Linked DNA regions of Anolis sagrei. The protein of the gene in region 2 purifies or fractionates together with the protein of the main gene of each other region. This does not show direct contact. Links are inferred from orthologs where the notes say so. Each region holds a gene or a part of one and is shown on either strand. Other genes may lie near its edges.

Region 1 (7,183 bases), on a different chromosome or scaffold from region 2:
GGCAAGGAGTGATGTCAACTTTCCTTCGGATCTTGTACAGTTTCAAATGCTTTTGAAGGGGGTCCAGGGCAGCAGCATCACATTCCAGCAGGAGGTGAGGCTCTTCTTGCGAGTTTACGTGAAGCCTGAAAAACATCCAAAATCAGGAAAAAACAAATACCTCTCTTGGAACTAAGCCTTTCAATCCCAACTTCGGCCCCTTCCTGTGTTGTGCCAGATTGTGGCCTTTTTTAAATTATTGTTTACTATATTTTTTATTTCACTTTTCTCCCAATATGGGGACTGAGGGCTTTCCCAGTTCATCTCTCTTTTGCCTTCTGCTACAGTTCTGCTTCCCAGAAGACACAGTGAATTACATTTTCAAAAACAAGAATTGCCTTCCTTGTTTTTTCTGGCTTGGTAGTAGTGTACACATATACTATACAATCAATGAAGTTTGGCACCATATTAACTGTCTTGATTCAATGCTATGGAATCTTGGGACTTGTAGTTTTGCAAGGTATTTAGCCTCTCCCACCAAAACGTGCTGGAGCCTTACCAAACTACGCCTCCCAGGATTACACAGCATTACACCTCCCAGGATTACACTCTACCTGGTCACGCCCAGCACTTTTTAACTTTAATTTGGCCCTGCCATTGATTTTAACTGCGTCATTGTGTGTTGTGAATGTTATTGCTTTGTTTTTTGAGTTATTTTGCTGTTGCTGTTGTTACTGTTTATACTATTGCATTTGGGCTCGGCCTCTTGTAAGCCGCACCGAGTCCTTCGGGAGATGGTAGTGGGGTACAAATAAAGGATTTATTATTATTATTATTATTATTATTATTATTATTATTATTGAGCCAAGGCAGTTAAAGTGGTGTCAAACTACATTAAGTGTAGATGTCTTAATGTTGTAGCGTTTTTGCTATGTTTGTGTATTTTAATGATTTTGTAACCTGCTCCGAGCCATGAGGCGAGAAATAAAATTGTTGTTGTTTATTTATACCTTGCTTTTTCTCTCCACCAAAGAGAAGCAATCTGGTGTTGCTTCCTGCCTCAATCCACGGGGAGAGGAATAAAACAATGATTAGTAATAGTACAAAATGGGATTTAAAAAAATAATTTTAATGGTGCATATATATAGAGATAGAGAAGACATTAATTATTATGACTTCAATTGCTTTTATATGGATTTTTATTATGTGAGATTACATGTTTTTGTTGATATGTATGTATGTTTATAGCATCTAAATTTTGCCAATCTGTACGCTGCCCTGAGTTGCCTTCGGGCCGAACAGGGCATAGGGTTACAGCCTGTGTTGGATGGGGTCGCACTCCCCCTGAAGACACAGGTTCGCAGCTTGGGTGTGATCTTGGACTCGTCGCTGAGCCTGGAACCCCAGGTTTCAGTGGTGACCAGGGGAGCATTCGCACAGTTAAAACTTGTGCGCCAGCTGTGCCCATACCTTGGGAAGTCTGACTTGGCCACGGTACTACTGCAACGCTCTCTACGTGGGGTTGCCTTTGAAGACTGCTCGGAAGCTTCAAATGGTCCAACGCTTGGCAGCCAGGTTGCTAACAGGAGCAGCACTCAGGAAGCATACTACTCCTCTGTTGCGCCAGCTCCACTGGCTGCCAGTTTGCTACCGGGCACAATTCAAAGTGCTGGCGTTAGCCTATAAAGCCCTAAACGGTTCTGGCCCTACTTACCTCTCTGAATGCATCTCCTCCTATGAACCGGCCAGGACACTAAGATCATCTGGGGAGGCCCTGCTCTCTGTCCCGCCTGCATCACAGGTGCGCTTGGCGGGGACGAGAGACAGGGCCTTCTCAGTGGTGGCCCCTCGGCTGTGGAACGCCCTGCCTGCAGATATCAGATAGGCCCCCTCCCTGCTGGCGTTTCGGAGGAAAGTGAAGACCTGGCTGTTCGTACAAGCATTTGATTAAACAGTGTAATTGAACATAGGAATATGGAATAATGGATGGTGAGACTGGATTCTGATTTTACTGTTGAGGCGCTAATGATTGTTATACTGATGTTTAATTATTTATGTTACAATTGTTTTTAATTGCCCTATACTTGTCTCGTGATGTTTTGTATTGATGTTGTTCACCGCTTTGAGTCGCCTGAGGGCTGAGAAAAGCGGTATATAAATAAAGTAAATAAATAATAAATAAATAAAAGAGCAGGATAAAAATGCTGTAAAGAGACTTAAAGAGACTTAAAAAGCCAAAAAAACCCCAAAAATTACATTACGCGTGCACAAAACCACACACACACACACACACACACATATATAAACACACATATACACACAGACTGGGCCACAGCAAAGCGTGGCAAGGGATGGCTAGTATGTATATATATGTATATGGATATGTATGTGTATATATATATATCTCGAGAGAGATAAAATAACTTCCAAAATTAGAAATTGATCAGGATGTATCCACTTCGGGGGCAAGCTAATTTCTAAGCTTGGCTCCCCTTGCATTAGATCCCTAAGTGCAAAAAACCCCAAGCCAAGTGGACATGCCAACTCTGTTTAGCATCTCTCTCCTTCTCACCTGTACAGGATGACGTCATAGAGGCAGCGCCCCTGGACGTTGAGCGCATGCGCGTAGAGCGCTCGTGGCGTGGTTAGAGAAGCCCCGCCCCCCTCCTGCGTCAAGAGCGTCACGTCATTCGTCAGCAGCCCTTGGAGGAAGGTCGCCGCCTCCGGGCCTCGGAGCCGTAGCAGTGCCCGGCTCTCCAGCGGGAAGCAGGTGGTCACCACGGTGGCCGCTTGGCTGCCTCCTTTTTCCCCGCTTAGCTTCCTCTCTCCGCTCCGGAGGCCCAAGCGGAGGGAGAGAGCCCTCCGCAGCGCCGCACTCGCCCTCACCAACATGGCGGCGCTCGAAGAAAGCGAGTTGTCTTTCACCCCGCACACATCTTGGCTGAGGAGACGAGTTGCGCCGACTGCGCAGGCGCATCAACATCTTCGCTAAGGGAGGCGGGACTATCCCCGTTCTTGGCTTCTTATTAGTCGAGGTGCCTGCCTGTTTTCCCGTGGCCACGCCCTCTCAAAGTTTCCCAAGCTCTGGCCTTCAGGGACTTTGGGGACTTCAGTTCCCAGAGTTCCTTGGAATTGGCCAAGGAATTGTGGGAGCTGAAGTCCAAAACACCTGGAGGGAGGACTCAAGTTGGCCCAAGCCAACTTGGTATAAAGGTTCCCAAGAAGGAGCTTCCACCGGGCACTGAGGCAGAGAGTTCCACTGGTGAACAGCTTTTCTTAGTCAGGAAGTTCACTTAGAATCTCCTCTGGAGGGAGGACCCAAGTTGGCCCAAGCCTGGTTTAAAGGTTTCCAAGAAGGAGTTTCCACTGGACCCTGAGGAAGAGAGTTCCACTGGTGAACAGCTTTTCTTAGTCAGGAAGTTCAGCTAGAATCTCCTCTGGAGAGATGACCCAAGTTGGCCCAAGCCTGGTTTAAGGGTTTCCAAGAAGGAGTTTCCACTGGACCCTGAGGTAGAGAGTTCCACTGGTGAACAGCTTTTCTTAGTCATGAAGTTCAGCTAGAATCTCCTCTGGAGGGAGGACCCAAGTTGGCCCAAGCCTGGTTTAAGGGTTTCCAAGAAGGAGCTTCCACCGGGCCCTGAGGCAGAGAGTTCCACTGGTGAACAGCTTTTCTTAGTCAGGAAGTTCATCTAGAATCTCCTCTGGAGGGAGGACCCAAGTTGGCCCAAGCTTGGTTTAAGGGTTTCCAAGAAGGAGCTTCCACTGGACCCTGAGGCAGAGAGTTCCACTGGTGAATAGCTTTTCTTAGTCAGGAAGTTCAGCTAGAATCTCCTCTGGAGAGAGGACCCAAGTTGGCCCAAGCCTGGTTTAAGGGTTTCCAAGAAGGAGTTTCCACCGGGCCCTGAGGCAGAGAGTTCCACTGGTGAACAGCTTAGCTTGGTCAGGAAGTTCAGGTAGAATCTCCTCTCCTGTAATTAGAACCCATGGCTCTATTGAGTCCTGGTTTCAAGAGAAGCAGAAAACAAGCCTGTTCCTTGTGACACCCTTTCCCATATTTATCCATGGCTATCCTGTCTCCTCTCAACATTCTCTTCTGCAGGCTAAAGAGACCCAGTTCTTTAGGGCGCTCCTCATAGAGATTCATCGTCTCCAGACCTTTGATCCTTTGAGTCGCCCTCTTCCTCTGGACGCCTTCCAGTTTAAGAGTCAATATCCCCATTGAACTGTGGGACTCAGAACTGGACACGTTGTGATTTTGAGATCAAAGGTAACCCCTCTCCCCCAGGTCTCAGTAAAAGATGGTTCAAAATCAGGGAATTCATAGTTTTGCCAAGGACAACAGGCTGGGATGATCCCACAATCCCCTATCTCTCCCCCATGTGGGAACCTAAGGTAGAGTTAGATAGATAAGGATAAGATTAGTCTGGTTTCCCCAATATCATAATTATTTCATTAATCAGGAGCCCCCAATGGCGCCATGGGTCAAACCCTTGTCCCGGCTGGACTGAAGACCGAAAGGTCGGAGGTTCAAATCCGGTTATTTATTTGTCGTGTCAGGGCAACCAGTCAATTATGTTACATTTCTAACAGAACAAAGCAAACAAACAGACCAAATACAAAATTTGTGAGTTTGGTAGTTGATTAAGTGTCCTTTGAGCAGTATTTGGCCACTTGGAGTGCTTCTGGTGTTGCCGCAAGAAGGTCCTCCATTGTGCATGTGGCAGGGCTCAGGGTGCATTGCAGCAGGTGGTCAGTGGTTTGCTCCTCTCCACACTCGCATGTCGTGGATTCCACTTTGTGGCCCCATTTCTTGAGGTTGGCTCTGCATCTCGTGGTGCCAGAGCGCAGTCTGTTCAGCGCCTTCCAAGTCTCCCAGTCTTCTGTGTGCCCAGGGGGGAGTCTCTCATTTGGTATAACCCTCGGATTGAGGTTCTGGGTTTGAGCCTGCCACTATTGGAATCTTGCTTGCTGGGATGTTCCAGCAAGTGTCTCTGTAGATCTTAGAAAACTATTTCTAGATTTAAGTCATTGACGTGCTGGCTGATACCCAAACAGGGAATGAGCTGGGGATGTCCCTGCCTTGGTCCTTTCACTATTGGCTGCTACTTCCCGGCGGATGTCAGGTGGTGCAATACCGGCTAAGCAGTGTAATTTCTCCAGTGGTGTAGGGCGCAGGCACCCCGTGATAATGCGGCATGTCTCATTAAGAGCCACATCCACTGTTTTAGTCTGGTGAGATGTGTTCCACACTGGGCATGCATACTCAGCAGCAGAGTAGCATAGCGCAAGGGCAGATGTCTTCACTGTGTCTGGTTGTGATCCCCAGGTTCTGCCAGTAAGCTTTCGTATGATATTGTTTCTAGCGCTCACTTTTTGCTTGATGTTCAGGCAGTGCTTCTTGTAGGTCAGAGAACGGTCCAGAGTGACTCCCAGGTATTTGGGTGCGCTGCAATGCTCCAGTGGGATTCCTTCCCAAGTAATCCTCAGAGCTCAGGATGCTTGTCTGTTCTTAAGGTGAAAGGCACATGTCTGTGTTTTAGATGGATTAGGGATCAGCTGGTTTTCCCTGAAATAGGCAGTAAGGGCACCTAGAGCTTCGGTGAGTTTTTGTTCAACCATCTCAAAGCTCCCTGCTTGAGCAGTAATGGCACAATCATCAGCATAGATGAAACTCTCTGTCCCTTCTGGCAGTGGCTGGTCATTTGTGTAGATGTTGAACATGGATGGAGCAAGCACGCTCCCCTGAGGCAGGCCATTCTTCTGTTTCCGCCATCTGCTTCTCTGGCCCTGGAACTCAACAAAAAAGCTCCTGTTTTGTAGCAGGTTTCCTATGAGGCGGTCGTCCTTTGTGATATTATACATTTTTCTCAGGAGGAGGCGGTGGTTCACAGTATCATAGACAAGTCTATGAAGACAGCTCCTGTGATCTGAATTTGAATTTGAGATACACTCTATGCTTCTTTGCAAGAGCATAACACAGTCTTTCAAGTACTCATCAGACTACAATCTCCATCAGTAGGGATTGTGGCACAGCTGGCTGAGTGTCAGCTGCATTAAGATCACTCTGACCAAAAGGTCATGAGTTTGAAGCCAGCCCGGGTTGGAATGGGTTTCCAACCAATTGTGTAGCCTGTTGTCGACCTTTGCAACCCGACAGACAATTGCATCTGTCAAGTAGGAAAATTAGGTACCACCTTAAAGTGTGGGGAGACTAAATTAACTAATTTATGAGGCCATAAAAAAGATTCCAGCAAAAAGCATGCGGGGAATGCGGAAGTACTTCATCAGTGTCATGAGTTCGAAGTGTCATGAGTTCAGGTCATGAGTTCGAAGCCAGCCCGGGTTGGAGTGGGTTTCCAACCAATTGTGTAGCCTGTTGTCGACCTTTGCAACCTGAAAGACAGTTGCATCTGTCAAGTAGGAAAATTAGGTACCACCTTAAAGTGTGGGGAGGCTACATTAACTGATTTATGAAGCCATAAAGCATTCCAGCGGGGAAGCATGCGGGGAATGCGGAAGTACTTCATCAGCGTCGCAGATGGACGATGAAAGCGACAGCTCCCCTGGCGGCCAGAAAAAGTTAAATAGCCTCTGTGTATGTCTGTATATGTTGTATGTCAAAATTGGCATTGAATGTTTGCCATATATGTGTACACTGTAATCCACCCTGAGTTCCCTGCGGGGTGAGAAGGGCGGAATATAAATGCTGTAAATAAAAATAAAATAAATAAATGCTACATTTTTACAGAGTTTACAGACACGATCAATCTTGCAAGAGACCAAGAAAACACAAGCATTTTATTTATTTTTATTAGTTCTGTCATCCTAAGTACAATCAGGCCATAACATTTACTCCCCGAAAAATATTTACAGAGACAAGAGTCAATTTCACACTCAACAGGTTTCTCATACAAGTTAGTACAAAAAAACAAAAACAAGACATCTCCCCACCCCCCCCCCCCCCAAAAAAAAACACACAGTGGAAACTTCATAACAACATAGATTTATTATATGGACATTTTGTTACTTTCAAGTATTTTCCAGTGGAATGGAATGTGAGTGAGAGATTCATTTTGTTCTGGGTTGCTGTAGGTTTTCCAGGCTGCGTGGCCATGTTCCAGAAGCATTCTCTTCTGACGTTATGCCCACATCTATGGCAGGCATCCTCAGAGGTTGTGAGGTCTGTTGGAAACTAGGCAAGTGA
Region 2 (6,925 bases):
AAAAAATTGTATCTATGTAATTTATTATATATATATTTTTATGTTCATGTTTTTGAATTTGTTGTACCCTGCCTCAAGCCATTAGGAGAGGCGGGCAATAAAAAAAAATATTAGGCTTGAGCAGATGGGGACTCCTGGAATTAAGTCTCTATGGATACTAAGGGGCCACTGTATTACAAATTGAACAAATAGCAAAACAATTACTATATGAAGAGGAAATATAATAACAGTTAGAATGAGGGCAAATTACTACCAAATTGCATTCAAATCCTTAAATATGTGTACTGAGAAGTTCCATGTTCTCAGCATAACTTACTCTCAAGTTTGTTTGCACAGGATAAATTATCTGAAACCTTTATTTTCACGAGAAGGCTGAACTACGGTAGTTGTAATATTTGTGTGAACCCTTAAATAGCTAAGGGGAAAAAGAAAGGAGCATGAGGCTGATAGGAATTGTGGGAGTTGAAGTCCAAAACACCTGGAGAGCCAAAGTTTGCCCATACCTGCTCTAAAGGGTGCATCTTCGCAGTTTGACACCACCTAAATTGTCATGGCTCAAAACTAATGTGTGTGTGTGGGTGTATGATGTTGATGTGTTTCGACTGTGTTGTACACCAAACTAATATATACTCACAAATACAACAGTATGTATAGGTCAATAATCAATAAACAGGTATGAAATATAAACTTATATTGAATAAACAAGTACAAATTTACAAGTATAACGTTGATGCTCCATACATCAGAATGAATATCAAATTAAACATAAGTTTGCCGCTTGTAAAGTCAGTCAGTTGAATTGAAGAGTCTGTAGATCACACGACCGGTTTTGACTTTTTTAATCTTCCTCAGGCAACTATGTAATTTTATATTTCCATGATAAACACTTTACATTCATCTCTCAAGTAGTATTATGTCTTTTTTCAATTTATATCAATGGTGGGTAAGTGTGAATTTATATCTTTCTGAGATACTCTGTTAACACTCTGTTCTTATTGCGCCTGAGGAAGACTAAAAAAGTCAAAACTGGTCGTGTGCTCTACAGACTTTTCAGTTCAACTGGCTGACTTCACAAGCAGCAAATTTGTTTAGTTTTATATTCTTTCTGATGTACGGAGCATCAACATTATACTTGTAAATTTGTATATGTTTATTCAATTTTATATTCCATACCTGTTTACTGATTATTTATCTATACATACTGTTGTATTTGTGGATATATATTTGGTGCATAATCAGGAATCCATTTAATTTATATTCTTCCAAAGCTTTGACTGTGTTGTACCCTGCCTCAAGCCATGAGAAGGTGAGTAACTAATTATTATTATTATTATTTGAAACACAACAAGATGAGTCCACAGCACTGCTGGCTGTTGTATTGGATCATACGTCAGACACTTCCCAAGTGTCTAGGACTGTATGATGTATCGGCGGATAATGCGTGCCAATCCCAGTAAGGTGGCCTTCTGCAGCTGGCAGCTGGCAATTTTGTCAGCGCTGATTGTGTTTAAGTGCAGGCCTAGGTCTTTAGGCACTGCACCCAGTGTGCCTATCACCACTGGGACCACCTTGACTGGCTTGTGCCAGAGTCTTTGCAGTTCGATCTTTAAATCCTCATGTCATGTCAGCCTTTCTAGTTGTTTCTCTTCAATACTACTGTCACCTGGGATTGCAACATCGACAATCCATACTTTGTTTTTAATAGGATCGTGAGGTCAGGAATATTGTGCTCCAAACTTTGTTTGTCTGAATTTGGAAGTCCCAGAGTAGTTTGACGTGTTCATTTTCTGTAACTTTTTCCAGCTTGTTATCCCACTAGTTAGTTGTCGCAGGCAGATGGTATTTGTGGCACAAGTTCCAATGAATCATCTGAGCAACTGTGTTATGTAGTCTGTCTGCGCAATCTTCTTGCAGCAGCTGAGGATGTGATCTAGTGTTTCATATGCTTCCTTGTAGAGTCTACATTTGGGGTCTGTCATTGACTTTTCAATTCTGGCTTTGGTGGCATTGATTCGAATGGCTTGTTCTTGTGCTGCCAGAATCAGGCCCTCCATCTCCTTTTTCAAAGTTCCATTTGTGAGCCACAGCCATTTTTTCTTTGTCAATTTGGCTCTCAATTTTCCCAGGAACTGTCCATGGAGAGCCTTCTTTCACCAGTTTTCTCTTCTGTTCTGGATTGTGTTTTTACGGTATTCACTCTTTGGGATCACAAGCCTTTTGCATTATTATTGGTATTATTACTATGGAATCATGGGAGATGTGTTCTGGTAAGGCACCAGCACTCTTTAGCAGAGAAGGCTTGTAAAACCACAGCTCTCATAATTCAATAGCAATGAGTCATAGCAATTAAAGTGGTGTCAAACTGCAATCATTCTACAGTACAGATGCACTGTAAGACTGAAGGAGAAATGTCAACAAAATTTGTAGCTATTACAGATTATGAGGGTTGCCAGAGTGAAAACTAGAGAGGCCTCCTGTGCATTTAAAATCCTGCAGAAGCAGGAATTTTGGCAGGTGTGTATCACCAGGTAAGAATCAATCCTTTCTTATTCTAGAAGCCCTCGCTAGTTTTCACTCTGTCAACAACAACTTGTCTGACAGCCTAAGACGATTTCGGCTCCATGAACCGCCGTTGCTATTTTCTTAAGTCTGCCTTCTTCCAATTCCCAACCTCTGGGCCTCCAGGCTTGTTTGGGACTTCAAATCCCAGAAGCCTCAGCCAGTTTGGCCAACTGCCAGGAATTCTGGGAGATGAAGTCCAAAACACCTTGAGGACTAAATAAAGATTGAAAGCCGTACATGCAATGTTAAACAAAGTTGACTCCCTCCCTTCCACTAAAAACCATCTCGCTCAGTCTGAGGGCAGCTTTAGACGACTGGCGGGAAAAGGGGAAAGAACCGCCACTACCTGCTCCGCCCGCAAATCTTCAGCGCCCTGAAACAAGTAAGTGCTCCCAGTGCCGCCATGTTGTTCTCCTCTTGACTCTGTCTCTATTGGTGCAGACGAACCATATGTCCCGCCTACGCCCTACGTCAATTGGTTTGCGGCAGAGGAGACGGTTGCGCCATTGGAAGTTAGCGGAGAGTGACGGGAAGGTCACGTGGTTTGGAGTGAAGGCGAGGAAATCCGGGCGGAAGGGTCTGGGAAGCCAAGTCTCATGTTTGTACATTCTGAAGCATTTTGATTGGCTGGCGCAGAGACCTCAAAGGCGGGAACTTTTACTACTGCCTCTTGAGTTTCTTGTGTGAATCTGTTTAGGGGTGAAAGGAGTTTCCTTCTATTATAATTGGAGAAAAATAACTGAAAAGCTATTCTAAATGAAAACATTGAAAACATAGCATCAGTTGGGGGCCCCTCCCTCCAACAACAATATAGTACTATATAATACTAATATTGTACTATTCTAATATAATATATTGTATATACATATTACCTTGAAGGAGCTGGGGGTGGTGACGGCCGACAGGGAGCTCTGGCGTGGGCTGGTCCATGAGGTCACGAAGAGTCGGAGACGACTGAATGAATGAACAACAACAATACGAATATTGTACTATGCTCATAATATATTGTATATACATATAATATAATATAATAATATATACATATGACCTTGAAGGAGCTGGGGTTGGTGACGGCCGACTGGGAGCTCTGGCGTGGGCTGAGGTCATGAAGAGTCAGAAACGACTGAACGAATGAACAACAACATATAATATTGATAATAATATAATACAATACAATATAATACTAATAATAATACAATATAATAATATTAATTATATATTAGATGTAATATTACTAATAATATTACAGTGTAGTGGTATAGTACAATATAGTAATATATAATGCTAATTTTGTAGCATGCTAATAATATAATATATTGTATGTACATATAACTTGTAAGCTGCTATGAGTCACCTCTGGGTTAGAGAGGGAAGGGTATAAATATAGTAAATAAATTAATAATATAAATAAACTCTGATCATATTTTCAGGGTTTTTTTTTTCGTGTCAGGAGCGACTTGAGAAACTGCAAGTTGCTTCTGGTGTGAGAAAACTGGCCGTCTCCTTGTGAGAGACTTCTCTCATATCTCCGCATGAGGAGCCGGAGCTGACAGAGGAAGCTCAACCCTTTCTCCCCAGATTCAAACCTCCAACCTGCTACTCTTCAGTCCTGCTAGCACAAGGGTTTAACCCATTGCGCCACTGGGGTGAATTTATTCTTATTCATATGTAACCCTCCTCCCAAAGTGTAACTAATAGGGCTTGCTAACACGTATGTTTACAGGCTTAATGATAATGTATGTATATAATGTTATTATAAATTAAGCAATGGAGGTAAAAGTGAATTAAGGTCTACAAGAACACAGGTTAATGTTCTGTGCTATTCATAGCCTATCTTGTAGTCCGCAGTCCCTATCTCACAAAGTAACTGATGGTGTAATCTACCACTGAATTGCATGATAATACCTCAGTTGAAGGACACCACACAAATTGCTCCCCCAAAGCCTCTCCCTATTCCTTTTTTGAGAAACCCTTATGGAATTCATGGGGTCACCCTAAGATAATAGATAAACTGAGGGCAGACACACACGTAAATAAATAATATATATACAAGCAGCCCCCAAGTTACTTTTACACCTCCTCAAGCTTTTAAAGCTAATTTCACCAGAAATGAAGACAATCCCCAAACAGTAAATAGAAAGCAAAAGTGACATTTGTTCTGTTCCAGATAATTTTGGGGCTGATCTCTGGTTGAAAACAGAAGTGAGATCCACCGGAGATTTGTGCTAAGAAGCAAATTTGCCCTTTCTCCTTCTGTAGTAGCTCACTCCAGTGTAAACTCTAGTTTACACTGATGATTCAGCCCTCATTCAGCCCATGATGATTCAGCCTCACCTATGGATTGTTTTTAGCTATAGCCCTACAGAAAATCAAATGCCATTGACCCAAGTATTGATCAATTCTGCCTTTATTACCAAAATGTTTTCTCTAGTGACCAATGATTTTTACATTTTTACTTCTGATAGATGTTTGTATGTAATTGATTACTTTGCTGGCTCACATAACACCAACCAAGTAAAATGTGCCCATTCTCCCTCAAATAGCACTATTGTAGCATTCATATTAGTATTTACTTCTTGACATGGTTTAGAACAGAAAGCACTGTGGCAGGAAACCACACAAATTGCTCCCCCAAAACCTCTCTATTCCTTTTCTGAGAAACCCCTATGGAATTCATATGGTCACCCTAAAATAATAGGTAATCTGAAGGCAGGCATATATATATATTATCTGTTCATGAGGTCTGCAGTCCCTCCCATTACCTCAAGAAACATAGAGCAAAGGGAAAGCTGCATATCAAAACATAATACAGTATACAGTAAGCAAACAGAATAATATACAAACAAATTACTAGTGGAGGCTTGAAGAAGGTTGCTATTTCCAACACTGTAATAATTGGATTTTGAAAAATGTGGCTTGCTGTTCAACCAATGATTGGTAATAAAGCTTCAGTGGATACATCTTTCCTCCATGATAACCCTTTCACGAGTAAATTTCCAAACCTAGGGGTACATTTCTCTCACTTCCTGTTGTCTTACCCCTGTTCTTAACTATGAGTTGTTTGTAAGTCAGCTGTTTATAACTCGGGAACTGTCTGAATATTGTTTTGAAAGTACCTGAATCTTAATCTACACCAAATGAATAAGATTGAAAAGGAACTGCTCTCGGAGTACCATTCCCACAAACCACTGGATAATATTTAACATTTAGTCTCAAAGTCGCCAAGCCCAAAGTTCAGCACCTAAAATACATACGTTAAATTTAAATTTACCTTATTTCTGGGGAAACCAAATGTGTGCACATTTCTGTGACATATAGGTTGGCCTTAATCAATGTATTGTCCAACTCCCAGCAACTTTAGCCTTGGCTTTTTCACTTCCCTCGTCATAATATGCCTTGAGTTAAATGCATGCTCTTGATGTAGGTGAAAGGGATCTGCTGAACAAGCAAAATTGGCCAAAACGTAAATATGTTCCTTCTTGCTGATCTGACAAGGATGAAGAGACATCTCCAAAGTGACCCTCAAGTGATACGGTTATCATCTTTGTGGTTTTAAAAAACGACGACAACTTGCCCTGCATAAACAAAACAGAGTTCTAATCTTGTGAACTGGACTAAAGGTCTTCAGAAGCAAACAGACTGCAGCCTTCAAATGAATCCTTATGGCATTTTTTGCACACTTCAGTGGGGCTATGGAAAATGTTGCCTAACTGGGTTAAGGCTGAGTTAACTGAGGTGAGACATGCCCAGCGGAGTGGTAAAGGCAGTTTGCTGCAATAGAAACAACACACACACATTTAGGGCCTTGTATGTGTTTAGGTTAACTAACAGCTTATGGAAACCTTGAATTTCATACCATTTTCTTAACCAGAAATTCTCAGAGGTGGTTTGCTATTGCATTACTCTGAAACATAGCTTGCAGCATCTGATATTTCTGGTCAATCTCCCATCCAAGTACTAAGTCTGACTCAGTGTTGCTTCCAAAATCAGATAGAATTGAGCGCTTTTAGGATATTTAGGCCCTTGTGGCATCTTAAACCTTAAAAACTAATAAAGTTGTAAAGTTTTATGGAATATGGTCCAAAAATCAACTATTGCTTTACGGAGGGCGGTGGGGGGGTAGCATGCTTTTAAACTTCCTCAAGCTCTTAAAGCTAATTTCAACTGAAGACAATCCCCAAACTAGGAAATAGAAAGCAAAAGTAACATTTGTTCAGCTCCAGGTATATTTTGGGGCTGATCTCTGGTTGAAAACAGAAGTGAGACCAACCAGTGGTTTGTGCTAAGAAGCAAATTCGCCCTTTCTCCTTCTGTAGTAGCCCACTCCAGTGTAAAGTCTAGTTAATGACCCATGATGATTCAG

The links. The genes of interacting proteins can lie anywhere in the genome.
Region 1: the proteins of ISCA2 (region 2) and IBA57 purify together in Homo sapiens (co-immunoprecipitation; 4 studies listed by BioGRID and IntAct, with this or other methods). This does not show direct contact. The link is inferred for Anolis sagrei from reciprocal best matches to the Homo sapiens genes ISCA2 and IBA57.

What each region holds. Positions count from the first base shown.
Region 1 is NC_090026.1:127,758,811-127,765,993, forward strand, and holds the start of IBA57 (putative transferase CAF17, mitochondrial), read right to left. Parts: upstream 3,014-7,183; 5' UTR 2,872-3,013; coding exon 2,552-2,871; intron 126-2,551; coding exon 1-125. UniProt on the Homo sapiens protein: Mitochondrial protein involved in the maturation of mitochondrial [4Fe-4S]-proteins in the late stage of the iron-sulfur cluster assembly pathway. Operates in cooperation with ISCA2 in the maturation of [4Fe-4S] proteins.
Region 2 is NC_090021.1:304,421,185-304,428,109, forward strand, and holds the start of ISCA2 (iron-sulfur cluster assembly 2 homolog, mitochondrial), read right to left. Parts: upstream 3,011-6,925; 5' UTR 2,968-3,010; coding exon 2,909-2,967; intron 1-2,908. UniProt on the Homo sapiens protein: Involved in the maturation of mitochondrial 4Fe-4S proteins functioning late in the iron-sulfur cluster assembly pathway. May be involved in the binding of an intermediate of Fe/S cluster assembly.